Rhinolophus ferrumequinum: one gene and its partner. The protein of the gene in region 1 interacts with the protein of each later gene in a biochemical or structural test. Links are inferred from orthologs where the notes say so. Each region holds a gene or a part of one and is shown on either strand. Other genes may lie near its edges.

Region 1 (8,104 bases):
GCAAACAGAAGAGCCCACAGTGTCATAATTCCACCAGCTCCATGACCTACGGTGATTCATAATTCCCTATTACCCTTCCAGAGAGCCTAATGCTATCCACAAAGCTACCTCCAGAATCACAGCAAAAGAGCATGTTTTCACTTTCTTTGGACTTCTCCCCAGGATTTGGGTTTAGAGGCTGCCCAGACTCCTCACCAACTAAATATTCAAGAATCAAGGCTCCTCTCCTAAAGGGGAACCTGAAAAAAGAGAAGGCCATTCGTGCTTACTGGGTATTCTAGGTCCAGATTTAAATAAACACTTAATTTTCAATCTTGCCAAAGTTAAATATTCCTAGCGCTGACATAGCTCAAAGGGGACAGTATGTTATTGCCTTATTAGCAGAAATGATGACAATGCTTTTAATTTCTTAGATGTTAAATATTATCCCTACATCCCAGTCCGAAAGGGAGTAAAAGAAATTACTTTTCCCCACAAAGTTATGTGTTCAGAAGACCTGACACCCACCCTGGACTAAGGGAGCTAAGCTGAAGACGACTCAGTTTTCAAGTTGACAAGAATAAAACGGACTTTTTTGTGTGAATCTGACGGTGTTTACTTCATATATAGTATTTAGCACCGAATGGTCCTTTACTAAGCCGACATTTCCAAAGAGAACTACTTGGTACAAAAATATGAACCAGCAACTTGGTTTCAACACCCTACCCTAATGCCCGCACTGTCAAACAGGGTAGCCACTAGCTACAAGTGGTTAAGTTAAAACTTAAATACAATTTAAAGTTTGGTTTTTCAGTCACACTAGCCACAATGGTTACGTGTGGCAAAGTCATAGAATATGTCCACTGTGACAAAGTTCTACGGGACAGAGCAACAACCCGTACGGAGGTGAAGTCATCCGTGAAGGCGGCTGCCTCTCCGGCGGCTACCACCGCGGCGCAGCTCCTGGGCCACTGGTCCCTGCCGAGGCGCCGGGACATCCGCGAGGACACGGAACTCACGCGCTGGGGGACCCTTCAGAAGCGGGCGTTAACTAATCGCGCGGGCGGCCCTGGGAGAGCTCTCCATAATGACCTGAGCGGGGAGCCCCGGAGGTGGCGCGTTTCCCCGGCGCGCCCGGTGGGGAGGGCCCAGATAGGCCGGCGCCAGTCGGTCAGAGGCGACGGCCTCCGACCTCTCCGCGAGCTGAGAAGGCGGCGGAAGAAGGAATAACGGAGACGCCAGGCGCTCGGCCGCCCCGGCCGTAGCTTTCAGCCGTCCGTCCGCGGACGGCGGGGGGCGCTGAGACTGTACCGGCGACCGCGGACGCCGGGGCCTCGCAGGCGGCGACGAAGGCGGAGCCCCAGTCGGGCTAGGGAGGCGCACGGAAAGCCCACCCCCTCCCCCGACCCGCCGGGTAAACAAGGCCACGATTCGCGCTTCACACTTACCGGAAGGCGCGACCCCGCGGCCGCTGAGCCCGGACGGGCCAGACCGGGTTGGGCGGGGCCAGAGGGATCGGACACAAGCGCGGCGGCGGCGGCGGCGGCGGACGCGGCAAGCCGACGCCGGTCAAGGCCCGCGTCGCTTCCTCCAGCGGAGCCGTCTCCGCCGCTCCGGAAGTGCTCGGCGTGGTTGCGTCACTTCCGGGCCGGGGTCGACCCGCGGTCGCAGGGGTCGAGGCGTGCGCTGGGTAATAGTACCCCTCTGCTGGCGCTCTGTGGTATCCCGGCGCTGGATCCCGGGGTCTGACCAGGGCACGGCCGGCGCGGAGGGCTGCGAGAGGCAGCAGACGAGAGGGCTCGGCTTACTGGAGCGCAGTCACGGCATCGCTTCTGGCTTTCGCCTCCCAGCGCTGCCCGCCAGGATATTTTTAACCCGCGTTTTTCTGATGGACTCCTTACTTCACTGTTTGTAAACTCGAGTGTCGGGTACCGGGAAGACATCCTGACGTCGGTGGAGTTGGTAAAGGACTGTTGTTTCCCTTCGGCTCGCTGGACGAAGGAGAACAGGGCCTTCGGGTCAGCGCGCCGGGCCGGAATTCCGCCTACGCTCAGGTTGTGGCCTGTTGGCCCCCGAGCCGCAGGACCTCGCCGGGTTTTCACTCCCGTTTCCTCAACTGGATTCGCCGCCCAGTTCTTCGGCTTTCCAGTGACTGTACAAGGCTGACTCTTAATTGCCTTGCTGCCCAGTTTCTTCAAACAGTATAAGAAGTGCCAGTTATGACTTCTAGTACCTACTAGGACCTGTTGTCAAGTGTTATGGATGGAGCGAGCCACGGAGGCTCACTCAGGTTGCTGCTGCACGAGTGCAAACGCCAGTGTGAAGCTGGTGATGTTAGGCATTGTATTGGGATGTGCAAGTCCGTAGATAATCCAAACGATTTCCACCCGTACACCAGTCGTGTATGTACTGATATTCGAGACAAATGATGTGTAACGGGCTCTCTAATTTAGTGCTTGCTTCTTGTATGCACTCATGTATTTCTTACATACGGGTTTCAGCTTCCAGTTTTAACACAGAACATGGACCAAGATCAGATGCAGTCAAACACATACTGGAAAGCCCCAAATTAATTTGGAGTGAAAATTAATAGCAATGAGTAATATATTGTAGGATTATGAATTTGGTATTTAGCAACATAAAAGTCTATCATCCAGTGTACCTTAATACATTTGTTTTGAGAAAACATATCCCTTTAAATTATACTAGCAAAGGGTCCAAATTATATTTTCTGCAAATGAAATGTCAATTAGAAGCTCTCACTTTGGGTTGCTGGTAATAAATTCCAGTGAATAAGGGGAACAATCAGTCTTTCTGTAGCATTATTGCACTTGCTAAATAGAGAATGAGGTCACAAGCATACTGGTGCATGTACAATATATTGGAATCCTCTTTATTTGTTCATGTGTCTTTCCCCTGGTGAAGGTGAGTTTCTTAAGGGCACAGATCCAACCTTGTTTTCAGTATTACTCCATTAAATAAACATTTATTGGGTTGATGATAATATTTTTAACTAGTGGCAATCTCTCCCCAGGAAGTAAATTTAAAAATTAAGCCAAAACATTTAAGGATACACATAAAAATTTGTGCGCATTTATGTGCTTTGGAATGATGATTCTAACAGGAAAAAGTTTGCAGCATCCCAAGCGTCCAAAAGTAAGGGTTTGTTAAATTATGGTAAAATATACAATAAAGAAAGCCATCAACAATCATGCTATACAAAGGCCCCTCTTGACAAGGAAAGGTACTTATGATACATTCTTCAGTGATAAGACTAGGATGTGAAACAATGTGCTATTCCATTTTCAAAATATATATGTGTGTAAAATATATCTAAACTCTCATGGTTTCTGTGGGACAGGAATCTGGACAGTTTACAGGAATCTGGGGGAATGGTTTATTTCAGCTCCTCAGTGTCTGGGGCCTCAGCTAGAAGATTCAAACTCTGAGAGCTAAAATTACAGGAATAGTTATTTACTCGTGCATCTGGTAGTGGCCTTGCTGGGACTGTCAGTCAGAACACGTATACACAACCTCTCCATGTGACCTTGTTTTTCTGGAAATATGGTGGCTGGGTTCCAAGGATAAGTGCCTTAGAACCAAGTGGAAGCCATATCTCCTTTTATGACTTAGCCTTTGAAGTCACACAGCATTATTTCTACCACATCTTATTGGTCCAAGCAAAGGTCCTCTCAGGTTCAAGGAGAGGAAATGAAACCCTACCCCTGATGGAGGAATACCAACACGATATCACACTGTAAGAAGAACATATGGAATGGGATACATGTTGGTGTGGCCATCTTTGGAAAATGTAATCTGTCACGTAGCATATGTTACATATATATCATACATATGTCTTTCATCTTTGCCTTTATTGATTTTAATTACACGATAATATATTGATACATTAAAGTTGTGAAAAATTTATACAACAGTGTTGATAGCAACATGTGAATATTCCCATTAACTCACTCCAACTCTCTACCCTATCCAGGATTGCTGCCATTTTCCAGAGTTTGGTGCACATCTTTCCAGGACCCTTTTCTGTGCATCTACATACATATCTGTATTTATACACATATACACATATATTTATACAAAGTTCTAAAAAATTTAACAGGCTGTTATAAATATCATCCTGCTTTCTTCATTTAGTAGAAGGTCCTATTATTATTCCCAATTTACAAATTAGCAAACTAAGACACAGGAAGGTGTGGTAATTGCTCTAAAGTTAGGAAGTGGCCAAGCTAAGCTTCTAACCCTGGCCGTCTGGCTCCTGAGCCTACCACATCTTCAATATTTCCTAGTGTGATTATACTGTCATCTTACCACGCTCCTTTTGCAGGTCATCTGTTTCTGATTTTTCACTCAGGTGAAATGACAACTGGTGCTGCAATGAACACCCTTGGATGTACTACTGTTTGCATAGATGTGAAAATGGTTCGGAATTTTTGGAAAATGAAATGGAATTAGTGAGTAAACTTCTATGCTCAGTTTACATTGTGATAGATACAGCCAAATCACCTTTGAAAAATGCCTTTGATTCTTTGAGCCCAGCTATAGGCCAGGTACCATGTTGTTAGATTTAATGGAGAGGGCAGGAGACCATGGTCCCTGCAGTCAAAGAGCTTTGGCCTAGTAGCGGATTCAGAAATTAGAGGAATATTTAAGTAAGTATGAAATTGCTGTGAGGAGTACTGCACAGGAGAGTCGGTGGGCTCCATCTTCAGCTTCTGCTCCATCTACCCTCACTCTCTAATGACCTTATCCAAGCTCTTTGCCTAATTAAGTATGTACCTCCAATACACTGATGACTTCTAGGCTTTTATTTCTAGGCCTACCTAATCCCCTGAACTCCACACTCAATACATTCAACTGTCCATTCAACACCCCTACTGGGATGTCATGTTAGCACTCAGATTTAACATGTCCCAAACAAAACTCAATTTTATCTCCAAACTTGGCATTTCCCCGCACCCCCCGCCCAGTGTTTCTGAGCTCAGTGATGTCATTATCTCTCACTATTTACTCAGACCAAAAATTCACCAGTCTCCCATGACTCTTCTTTCCCTTTCAAATTCCACATTCAATCCATAAGCAATTCCTACGTGCCATACCTCCACAATATGTCCTGATTAGGCACTTCCCACCACCTGGTGCTCCAGAGCAAGCCATCACAATATGTCCCTGGATGTGAGCAGGTCGCTTAACTAAGGTAGTTTCCGTGCATCTACCCACCCTTGCTCTACTAAATCTGTTCTCTCCGTTGTTTAAAGAGATCTTTTTAAAGCATAAAACATGTCATTTCCTTGTTCAAAACCCTCCAAAGCTCTCTCTCATAGGCTTTGGCCTTAGAGGCCTACAAAAGGTAGGGTCTGGAGCCAGATAGCCAGGGTGAGAATCCCAGTTTGGCAACTTCCTAGCAGAGTGACCTTGCGCAAGGAAACTTACCTCTCTATGACTTAGATTTCTCATTTGTGAAATGGGGATAATAGCACCTTTCACTGAGTAAAAAAGCGGAATTATATTTACAATAGCTTTTTTTTAATGAAAAAGGTTTTGTGTAAATGTGTGTTTGTGTGTGTACCTATTAGATATAAATGCATATGTAGATGCATAGAAAGGGTCCTGGAAGGACATGTACAAAATGCTTATATTTTATATTGTTGTTTTTTAGGTTGAGCTCTTAAATCCATCCAGAATTTGTGTTTGGTAGGATGTGTAGAGAGTCAGTTGTCCCAACACCGTTTATTGAATAGATCATTCTTTATCCACTATTTAGAAAAGCGCCTTTATGATGATCTAAGTTCCCGTGTATATATGGATCTGTTATCTGGTTCCTTTTTCCTGGATATCACTTACTTTCAGGTGTACTGAGTTCAAGATCTCTTTGGGCAGCTAGAGAGGCAGGATTGGAGCCCATGAGAGGCACAGAAATTGGAGAGATTTCAGCCCAGACGTGGAATTTGAGCTAAGAAAGAAGGAAAGAGAAGAAAGGAAGGATAGACATTGGGAAAATTAGCCCCTTTTTCATGTTTGATTCCCAGGGTCTAGGAACAAGATTTCTCATCTGGAGTCCAAGGACAGCTTCAAGTTCCCATGAAATTGAAAGCAAACCTGGAGGTACATGTGCATATGTACATTTTTCTGGGGAGAGGGTGCCAGGGATTTTCCTCCCCACAAATGGCTAAGAACCACTGGTTGGACGATGTCTAGCATATGGTAGCAACTCAGATACACCTCTTGTATCAACATGTTACAGAGTGGAGAGAGAAAAGACACCTGTGCTAAAGAGGAAAATATGTGAAAAGGGGCAGTTAAGTAGCAGATCTGTATGGTAAATCAGGAGAAGCTCAGTTTGCTCAGAGATGAAGATATAGTCTAGGGGAAAACAAAGTTGAAGAAGTAAACTAGCATGAAACTATGAAAAGCTCCGATTGCCCCTGAGCTATTTGTAGTTTATTCTGATGCAATAAAGAACTGAGGAGCTTTTTTGGCCAGGGAATGACATAGATTAAATTTCAGGTAAGTTTTCTAGCGGTGTGTAAGGCTAACCACATCAGGAAGCAGGAAGACCATTTGTATAGTGGATTATTGATTACGTTTTACTGGTGGGCTTGAGTTGAGTCCACATTGAGGTCTGTCATGGAGGTGGGTAGGTTTACTGGATTTTTACCAGGAGGGCTGTTCTATCTATATCAAATACCATCTCTTCCTGAAATTGCTCTGAGTGCAAACTGACTCTAAATTAGCTCCTCCTCTGCAGCCAGAGTGTTACAAAATATAAATAAAAGAAACAAGGTCCCATTACCAAATTGTGACTCTTGGGCCTTCTGTCCAATAAAACTCCTGAGGTTAATCTAGCGATGAGTAGTTTTACAAATCAGAAGTGCTCAGTAAATGTGTGCCCTGGACACTAACACAGTACTGCCCTCTCATGGTGAAAATTCCCCATAATCTGTGGGAAACAAAGACAACAGTATTCACTGGGGTAGGAAGTCAGGAGGAAATGTCAGGCTTCAACCAGAACTGACAACCTGCTTTGCACCTGAGCTCCCTCCTAACAGCTCCTTCTTGTTCCAATGTCTGAGATTCTTCTCCCCAGCCAGACTGAAGCCCTTTGAGGACAGGGACCCAGATAAACAGTTTAACAACAATCATCTTATACCTGTGTTTCAGGTATTATGCAACCTTACTTTACAACTTGTGGGCTATCTCTTTGCCAAACTCGAACACTTCTATCTTGGAAATTCTTAACAATGGGTGCTTCTCAAACTCAGTCACAGAGTTTTAAAGACTTGTGTCAGGACTCAATTCCAGATATTCAGAGTGAGAGCGCTGGAGATCCCAGGGCATTTAGAAGCAGCTTGCCAGGGGAGGCCACACAAAGCAGATGCCACACCACCACCTCAGGGACCCGGCCTCATCAGCTGTGCTTTCTGTCCTTTCTTGATGTTTCCCTCAATCTCAGTCCCATCTTAAACAAACACTGAAATCTAAACCCTCCTTGAACTCTTTGTTCCTTTCCCCTCCCTACCAAGCTCCTTGAACCAGTAACTGACTCTTAGTGCCTCTGCCTTCTTGCTGCCTGTTCATTATTAGACCCACCACATGCCAACACTTCTGGCAAGTGTCTTCTAAATGTCATCAGTGATGATTAGTTAAACCTCATGAGCACTTAAAATTCCTTAGCTTGACCCAGCATTTGACTCTTTCATCCCTTGGACTCAAAGGCACCATTTTCTCTTAGTTTTTCTCCAAAATTCTAATAGCAACCTCTGCTTTGGGGGCTCCTCCTTTCATGCGGCCCCTCTCCCATGATACAGTCTTCCCGGGGTTACATATATGTCTTTATGATGAAATCTTCCCAACTTCTGTCTCTGGCCTTTACCTCTCTCCTGGTTCCCAAACTGTGTACCCGACACTAACCAGCTATGTCCCCAGATGTGCCATGGGCACTGCAGTATGTCTCAAATCTGCTATAGGTTTTCTGCTAATGCCTCTGGGGTTCTATCTCCTTTTCCATCCTTCTATGATCCCTGCCTCATTTCACGCCTTCACTGCCTCTTGCCTGGACTGCTGTAATTCTCTCTTAACTGGTCTCCCTGCTTCCAGTCTCTCCGAA
Region 2 (8,143 bases), on another chromosome or scaffold:
GCGGCCCACGGAGGCTGGAGGGACGCGCAGGGCCCGCCAGGGAGACCCCCGCCCGCGCACTGTCACGTGGCCCCGCAGAGTCTCACCAGCGACACTGTGTCGACTCCTGCGGCGGGAGGCTCCGCACGTGGCACCGCGACAGCGGCCACACCACTTCCGGCTCCTCGGGCCCGGCGCCCGCCGATGACGTCACGGCGCCCTGCGGTCGCTCGCGGGATCGCGGGGCGCGCCTCCGGGTCAGCTTCCTCCCGGATGCGCGTTCCTGTGCTTGCACACGCCCGTGCAAAGACAAGCTGAAAGTCCCACCGCCCCAGAAGTAGGCCGCGCGGGCTGCGACCAGGGCAGGGCCGCGACAGCCCTGGAGTCCCAGGACCGCCCGCCCACGGCTAGCTGCCCAGTCCCGTGAGGACACTTTGCTGTGGGCACTTTGTCACTGCAAATCGCTCTGGGAACACCCCTGACTGGGCCCCAGGGTGCATTCCAGAAAATGGAATCACATATCAGAGGGTTTAACTGGGATCAGCCAAGGTGCAGGAGATGGGGGTCTGGCAGGGTCTGCAGAAGTGGCCTTCCGCCCTGGCCCTGACTCTCCCTGGTCTGCCTCCCCCGCAGGGGCACATTCTCTGCAGTGCAGAAGCCACTTACACGAGGGAGGGGGTCCTGTGTCCCAGGACCCAGGGTGCAATGAGAGCTGGATGAAATGGGCTGAGCGGGGGACTGGAGACGGCAGAAAAGGGAAGCAGCAGCTCTGTTATTGCTCAGCAGGGCTGATTCAGAGCAGGTTCCTCTGTGGGGAGTGTAGAGAGGGAGTGGGGGCAGGGGCCGGACTGTCTGCCTCCAGCACTCCGCTCCCTGCAAGGCGGGCTTAGCTTTTGGGCCTGGAGCGTGATAGATGTGCCCAGCCCACTCAGCTCCCCTGTAGCCTGGGCCCTAACCCAGGGCCTGGCAGCAGTAACCCCACTAGGACACCTCTCAGGCCCGGGCTGCTCCAGCCTGCTCAAACGGGAGTGGCTAGGCCCCTGCAGAGCCAGCCCCTTCCCCAGCGCTGCCAGCCTGTGAGGCTCTCTGAACTCTTCCAGGATGGACCAGGGTGTCTGTAACCCTTGTCATGGGCCCCTCTGGGTCCATGGCGGAAACCCGGGTGCCTGGCTTCAGCCCTTCCATGCCCCTGCCCTGGCTGGGCTTGGGTCTGGGAGCTCCGGGGATAAGAAGGTGAGGGACTGTTGGTGGCTTCCCACTCTCTGGGTTCATGTCCCTGTGTGGCTGCATCATGGCTTCCCTGCCTCCTGCTCTAACACTGAGACAACCCAGCCCCACCCATGGCTCACCAGCCTCTCTTCCCAGTGACTCTGCTTCACCCCCTTGGTGATGCACCGCCTGAATCACTCCCTAATTGCTCCCCTGAGATCTCAATTTTCCACTTCTCCTGGGGGTTCCTCTTTCCCCAGCCACTCAGCTGGGGTGTGGAGCTGAGGCTGGACGCCTACTAAGCCTAAATTAAGACTCGGTGACTTGGTGGTGGTTTCCTGTGGTCCTGACTTCCCACTTTCTTCTTTGTCCGTGACTGGCTGACCAGCTCCTCCAAGTGCCCCTCCTCCACAGCCTCCCAGAGCTGTCCTTCTGTTCCATCGGAGCCCGCCCCAGCCCTTGGTCTGAGTCCTCAAGCACTGGACTCCTCCAGGCCCCGGGCAGAGTCTGTATACTGGGACTCCTCCAATGAGAATTGATGCTTTGTAAGCCCAGCTAAGTGTCACTGCATTGAATCCTCCCCACAATCCTGTGAGGGGGGGACCACTTCACAGATGGGGAAACTAAGACTCAGGGAGGTTAAGTAACTTGTCTAAGGTCACACAGCCAATGAGACCAAAGTGGCACTGGGATGTAAAGCCAGTAAAGCTAGCTGCAGAGAAACAATGGAAGGTTTGAAAGAGGGGGGAACAGGCAGGAAGGAGACCCTGGAGGAAATGGAGAAGCTAAGGATGCCCACCGGGGAGGCTTCGCCCACATCCCTAGCAGGGATCAGGTGACCGAGGTCCCCTCCTCTCTGCCCAGCCCATGCTCTGAGACCCCAAGGAAGCCCTGCCCCTCTGCTCTTCCCAGCTAACTTCCCCTCTGGATTCTGCAGAGCTTAGGACCAGGGCACCAGGAGGAACAATGCCTACCTGGCTGCACTCAGACAGACGATGATGATGACTAAGGTCTCCAGTGCCCTGCCCAGAGGCTGGCCCTGCCCGGAGCCTGGCCCACCTCTGCCTGCCCTGCACCCCCGGCTGACGGGGGTAAGGGGTGGTGATCTGTGGATGAAAGGCCAGCCACTCCTTTGAGGCTCTTGAGAGGCCAGGTGGTTAATGTATAACCAATTATGATACATTACGTCTGAGGAACCTGGACCATAAACTGGCCAGGTGATGTCACCCAGCTTTTGCCTGGATGCCACCAGACCGACTTCGGTGTGCCCGGAGGAAAGTGGAGGGTCCACAGATGAGAGCCAGGTCAGCCAGGGGCAGTTCTGGCTGTGGTGGAGGCTGACCCCTTCCAGCCCCCAACCCTTGCTGCCCTGCTCTGGGACCAACCAGTCTCCCAAGCAGCCCCTGCCTTGTTGGGGGCCGCACCTTGTCATTTGGGTCCGAAGACCTCGGTCGCCCTCCCCTTCCCCCATCACAGCTGCTGAACACCCTGCACTGTCAGTCTGAGCCCCGCCCAGGTTTGGCCTGCCTGGGGTCCCCAGGGTGGTCCTTGGGTGACGTTAGCACAGGGCCAGTCATTCTGGAATCATTGAGTGATTGCGGTGCCTCTGACCTGACCCCTCTGTCACCCACCTTCTGATTGTCCCTTTGCTTATCTGAAAAATGGGGACAAAACACCCATCTCAGAAGGCTGAGGGTTGCAGGAGCCCTCGGCAGGAGTATCCCCAGGGCCTGACCCTAGGCAAGGCCGCCGCAAGCCAGTGGACCTCCTCTCCAGTGTGGACCTCGCCTGTAGAGGGAGCGGGGAATGGGAGTCCTTCTTCCACCCCACAAAGTGCTCGGGTCCTTGGCCAGCCTGAGGGTCGGGGAAGGTGGATGGCGTTCTGAGAAATTGCAGAGGCTGAAGACAAAGAAGAAGCCCTGAGTGCACCCCCTCTTCAGGGTCTGAAAGCTAAGTCTGAAAGCCAAGTCAGCCTCCAGCAGCAGCAGCAGCAGCTCTGGTTTCTAGAAACAGAAACTTGAGCCCATCAGGCCTTCGGGAGTGGGGAAGTGGGGAGGGTAGCTGCAGATATTTGTAAAATTGGGGGAAGGGGCTGCAAAGGGACACAAGAGTGCAGGAATTCCAGGCTTAAGGGACACCTGCTGTCTGGCCAGCCAGACCATTGGCCTTTTTACAATGGTTTGTTTTGTGGGTCTAAAAAAAAAACACACCACAAAACTCAAAATGCTGACTGGGAATAGGTCAAAGCATGCCAAGGTGAGCTGGGGAAGAGGCAGGCGTCCCTTCTGGTCACCACAAGGACAGCCAGGGACAGCTGGGGAGATTCCACACCCTTTGATGAGCACACAGGCAGTGCCGGTCCTCTGGGTCACTGAATGTGCCGGTCCTCTGGGTCTCTGCTTCAGCGCCCACTCCCTACCTACCTTGGAATTCCTGGCTCTGCCCTGCCCCAGCCGCGCCCATCTCCTCCCATCTCCTGCTGCTGTTCTGTGCACTTGGCTGCTGTCTCAGGGCCAGTCTTCCCTCAGCAGCAGCCTACGTTCACCTTGCTTCCGACAGAGCTCACCATGCAGGCCTGGGAAGATTTTGTGAAATATACACATAGATAAGGGCTTCCCCTTTTCTGGCTTTACTCACGAAGCAACACATGATGGGTATTAGCTACAGAATCTCCAATGCACTCTTTTTAATAGCTGTATACTTTTCCACACGGCAGACATGCCTCCCTACCCGTTGGCTAGTCCCCAAATGATGGGTGAGTTATATCCAGGTTGGTTTGTGTTTGTTTTTCCCACCACACAACTTTTGGCCTATCTGCAAAGAGAAATGACTGTCCTTTCTATCGGCTGGATTCCTAGAAGTGGGATTGCTGGGTCAAGGAGTGTGAACATTTTTAATTTTAATAAATCCTGCCAGATTACTTCCCAAAAAGGATGTAGCAATTCACAGTTGCAGGCAGTGTGTGGACGCCTGTCTCCCCACATTCCAACCCATAGCCAACACTGGCTGCTGTCAATCTTACATTTTTGTCAATCTGAGTGTGTTGGGGGTAATAGAATGTGGAGACATTGTTTTAATTTGCCTGATTCTGATTTATAGTGAGTTCTTTTTTTTTTTAATCTCACATATGTTTGTGTTTCATCTTTGCCAGTCTCTGGGGACTGCCTTTGGGGGTGGGGTGGTGAGACTGAACCTGTCCCCAGCAGAGAGGGCCTAGGGCTGGGGTCTGGAGACTGTGAGCCTGTGTACTCCCCAGCGGCCGCTCAGGGTTACAGTGTTCCTGCATCTACCAGGAGGGGCAGGGCCCGGGGTCCCTGGCTCAGATCCCCCAGAGCCTGGGTACTTGCCCAAGGTCAAAGCACCGCAGGTGCCACCGGGCTGGGCCGGAGCCAGACTGCGCCTCCGGTGCGCCTTCGCCTTCGCTCTGCACCAAGATCTCCCGGGAGATGCAAGCGGGCACCTTGAGAAAGGTCGGCGGCTCAGAACCAGCTCAGACCGGGCGGGGCGGGGCGGGGCGGGGGCAGTACCTGCTGCAGAAGCCCGAGCCTCTCTCGCCCGGCCTCTCGCTGCCGCTGCCGCCGCCGCCGCCATCGCGGGGACTGGCAGAGGAAGGCAGAGGTGGGATGCAGACGAGCCCGAGCGTCCTCAAGTGCCGGGTGGCTCTCCTGCCTCAGTTTCCCGCGGGGTGGGGGGCGACTCCAGGACGTCCAAGGGTCTGAGGTTCCGGCTTCGGGGTCCTGGGCAGGCGCCGGGCAGGGCGGGCGGGTTGTGCCGGGGTCCCAGCGAGGAGACACACAGGGTGGGCGGCCTTGGGGGGTGGTCTGGGGCTGCGGGCGGAGGACAAAGCAGCGGCACCACCCCGCGGTGCAGGCCAATGGAATGAATGGGCTATAAATAGCGGCCAATGGGCGGCCCGCCCTGCACCCCTTAAGAGCCACGGGAGAGGCGAGCGGCCGCTGTTTGCCAGCGCCGCGCCCGGAGTTGCTTAAGGACCGAGCGCTCCCCCTACGCCCGGACGCCTGGTGAGTGGGCCCGAGGGCTGGGGATGGCCGCGCTGGGCGCCGGGGCAGCAGCGATGCACACAGAGGGACCCCGGGGCATCTTGCGCTCCGGACGCGCCCGGGCAGGCAGCCGCGAGTGCGCGCGCTGGCGGGTCCGCGGTCCTTGGTGGTGCCGGCGCCCTCTGCCTGCGCTGCGGACCCCGCTGACCTTGGCCACATCCCAGGTTGACTGGGGGCCAGGGCTGCGGGGTCCTGAGTGGTTTGTAGGTCCGGGGGAGGCCGGGTGCGCCGGGTCCCCGCTGATGCCGCGTCTCCCCACAGCCCACAGCCCGCCGCCCGCCGCCGCCATGCCCTTCTCCAACAGCCACAACACGCTGAAGCTGCGCTTCCCGGCGGAGGACGAGTTCCCCGACCTCAGCAGCCACAACAACCACATGGCCAAAGTGCTGACCCCCGAGATGTACGCTGAGCTGCGCGCCAAGAGCACGCCGAGCGGCTTCACGCTGGACGACATCATCCAGACCGGAGTGGACAACCCGGGTACGCGCACGCCCGTCCCGGGGTCAGGATACTCCCGGGGCTAAGGTCCAGCGCCCTCCAGAACCCCTCTCGGGCCAGAGTTCCCGCGCAGCCGCAGGGTCCTCGGCTGCTTGCTCAGGCCTGGCGGTGACGTCACTGTCCCCTTCCTCGCCCCCCAGGCCACCCGTACATCATGACCGTGGGCTGCGTGGCGGGCGACGAGGAATCGTACGAAGTGTTCAAGGAGCTCTTTGACCCCATCATCGAGGACCGTCACGGTGGCTACAAGCCGAGCGACGAGCACAAAACTGACCTCAACCCTGACAACCTGCAGGTGCGGGGTGGCCCGGGTGCGGGGCGGCCCGGGTGCGGGGCGGGCTACGAGTGGTATCCCGGCGCTCACCCCCGCTCGGCCTGCAGGGAGGAGACGATCTGGACCCCAACTACGTGCTGAGCTCGCGGGTGCGCACAGGCCGCAGCATCCGCGGCTTCTGCCTCCCCCCGCACTGCAGCCGCGGGGAGCGCCGCGCCATCGAGAAGCTCGCGGTGGAAGGTAGGGGTCTGCCCGCCCCGGCTCGGCCGCCTCCACGTCCCCGGCCCCGCCCCAGCTTGTTTACCAGTCACCCGAGCCACCGCCGAGTTCTTATCTGCGCGCGCGGTCCGGTTTCCCGAGAGACCGAGGCCCAGCCCCGCACCGACTGCGGCCGGGCTGCGGTCCGGTGAGGGCCGCCCGACTGAGTCACCTCCTCCGACCGCCGCCGGACCGCATGGACTGGGCTCCCACAGGGCTGGGCGCGCGTGGGGAGGTGGCGGCCCCGTGCTGCCCGGGTGGGGGTGGGGCCAGGGCCCGCGGCTTGTCCCCTGAGCGCGCCCCTCCGCAGCACTGTCGAGCCTGGATGGCGACCTGGCCGGCAGGTACTACGCGCTCAAGAGCATGACAGACGCGGAGCAGCAGCAGCTCATCGACGACCACTTCCTCTTCGACAAGCCCGTGTCGCCCCTGCTGCTGGCCTCGGGCATGGCCCGCGACTGGCCGGACGCCCGCGGCATCTGGTGCGTGACCACTCCCCTCCCCCTCCCGCGGCTCCCCCACCTCTTCCTCTACGTCCTGCCCTCGCCCAGGCTGGGAGGGGAGAGGGAGAGGCCGCGCTCCTGGGACGGGTTTGGTGCCGCCCAGGCCTCCTCTCAGGTGACGTTGACCGCGCAGGTGCGTGGAGGGACCCGGCTGATGGAGGCCTCAGCCTCCGGATCTTAGAGGTGGGGGACAGGTCGTGTTGGCGTCTCTCCTCCACCCCCTCTTGGGAGCTGGAGCTTCTTGTTTTCTTTCTCACCCGCCCGCTTCCCCCTTCCTCTGAGGATCTGCCAGGTGCTGGGTGACGCAGACGCTTCCCGGTGGAGGTTGGGGGAGGGCTTACAGCCTCCTGTCCCCACGGTCTGGGTAGGGCGGGCTTCAGCGCCCAGATACAGCGCTTTCCCCTGGGGGGGCTGTCCGGGCTCCCCCGCCCCTTACGTCCTAGGTTGGGACCTGGCCCCAGGGCTCGTGACTGGCAGGATGGGGACAGTTCAGGGCTTTTTGAACCCTTTCTGAGCTGTCCTGTGTGGCGGGAGCTGGGGTTCTGGGTATAGCTGGAAGGAGCACCTCAGGGATTTGTGAAGTTCCTCCCGTCTGGCGACCCCCTAGAGTTTTCCTGGATGTGCCCTGAGACCACAGTCCAGGGAGGAGCCTTGACTGTGGCCCTCCCCCAGGCACAATGACAATAAGACCTTCCTGGTGTGGATCAACGAGGAGGACCACCTTCGGGTCATCTCCATGCAGAAGGGGGGCAACATGAAGGAGGTGTTCACCCGCTTCTGCAATGGCCTCACTCAGGTCAGGCCTGCCGCTCCAATAGGGGCTGGCATGAGTGGGGGTTCAGTGCCAGGGAGGGGGCAGGGCCAGGCCCCAGAGCTCAGGCAGGGATGTGGGTGCCCTATCAGTCTCCCTGGGGAGTCTGGGTCTCAGTCACCTCAGGCTCCCGCCTGGGGCTTCTGGGTCCCAGCTGGTCCCTTGGGGGGAGGGGCATCTCACAGGCCTTCCCTCTCACACCTTCTCCACCTCCAGATTGAAACACTCTTCAAGTCTAAGAACTACGAGTTCATGTGGAACCCTCACCTGGGCTACATCCTCACCTGCCCGTCCAACCTGGGCACAGGGCTGCGGGCAGGTGTGCACATCAAGCTGCCCCACCTGGGCAAGCACGAGAAGTTCGCGGAGGTGCTCAAGCGGCTGCGCCTTCAGAAGCGAGGCACAGGTGAGTGGGGCAGGGGCTGCTGGCAGCTCTCTCTCCCCGGGGCTCCCACCCCAGCCCTGCTGACCCGGCTGCCTCCCCAGGTGGTGTGGACACGGCTGCTGTGGGCGGGGTCTTTGACGTCTCCAACGCAGACCGCCTGGGCTT

What was found.
Region 2: of the proteins of ARIH2 (region 1) and CKB, one has a biochemical effect on the other in vitro, tested with the Homo sapiens proteins (2 studies listed by BioGRID). The link is inferred for Rhinolophus ferrumequinum from reciprocal best matches to the Homo sapiens genes ARIH2 and CKB.

The regions. Positions count from the first base shown.
Region 1 is NC_046300.1:7,302,035-7,310,138, forward strand, and holds the start of ARIH2 (E3 ubiquitin-protein ligase ARIH2), read right to left. Parts: upstream 3,115-8,104; 5' UTR 1,428-3,114; intron 1,308-1,427; exon of another isoform or gene 1,072-1,307; intron 1-1,071.
Region 2 is NC_046289.1:1,720,520-1,728,662, forward strand, and holds the start of CKB (creatine kinase B-type), read left to right. Parts: upstream 1-5,035; 5' UTR 5,036-5,210; intron 5,211-5,510; 5' UTR 5,511-5,536; coding exon 5,537-5,729; intron 5,730-5,887; coding exon 5,888-6,042; intron 6,043-6,128; coding exon 6,129-6,261; intron 6,262-6,589; coding exon 6,590-6,761; intron 6,762-7,454; coding exon 7,455-7,578; intron 7,579-7,809; coding exon 7,810-7,999; intron 8,000-8,079; coding exon 8,080-8,143. Other genes in the region: tRNA (adenine(58)-N(1))-methyltransferase catalytic subunit TRMT61A, read right to left, coding at 87-267, 3,612-3,661. UniProt on the Homo sapiens protein: Reversibly catalyzes the transfer of phosphate between ATP and various phosphogens (e.g. creatine phosphate).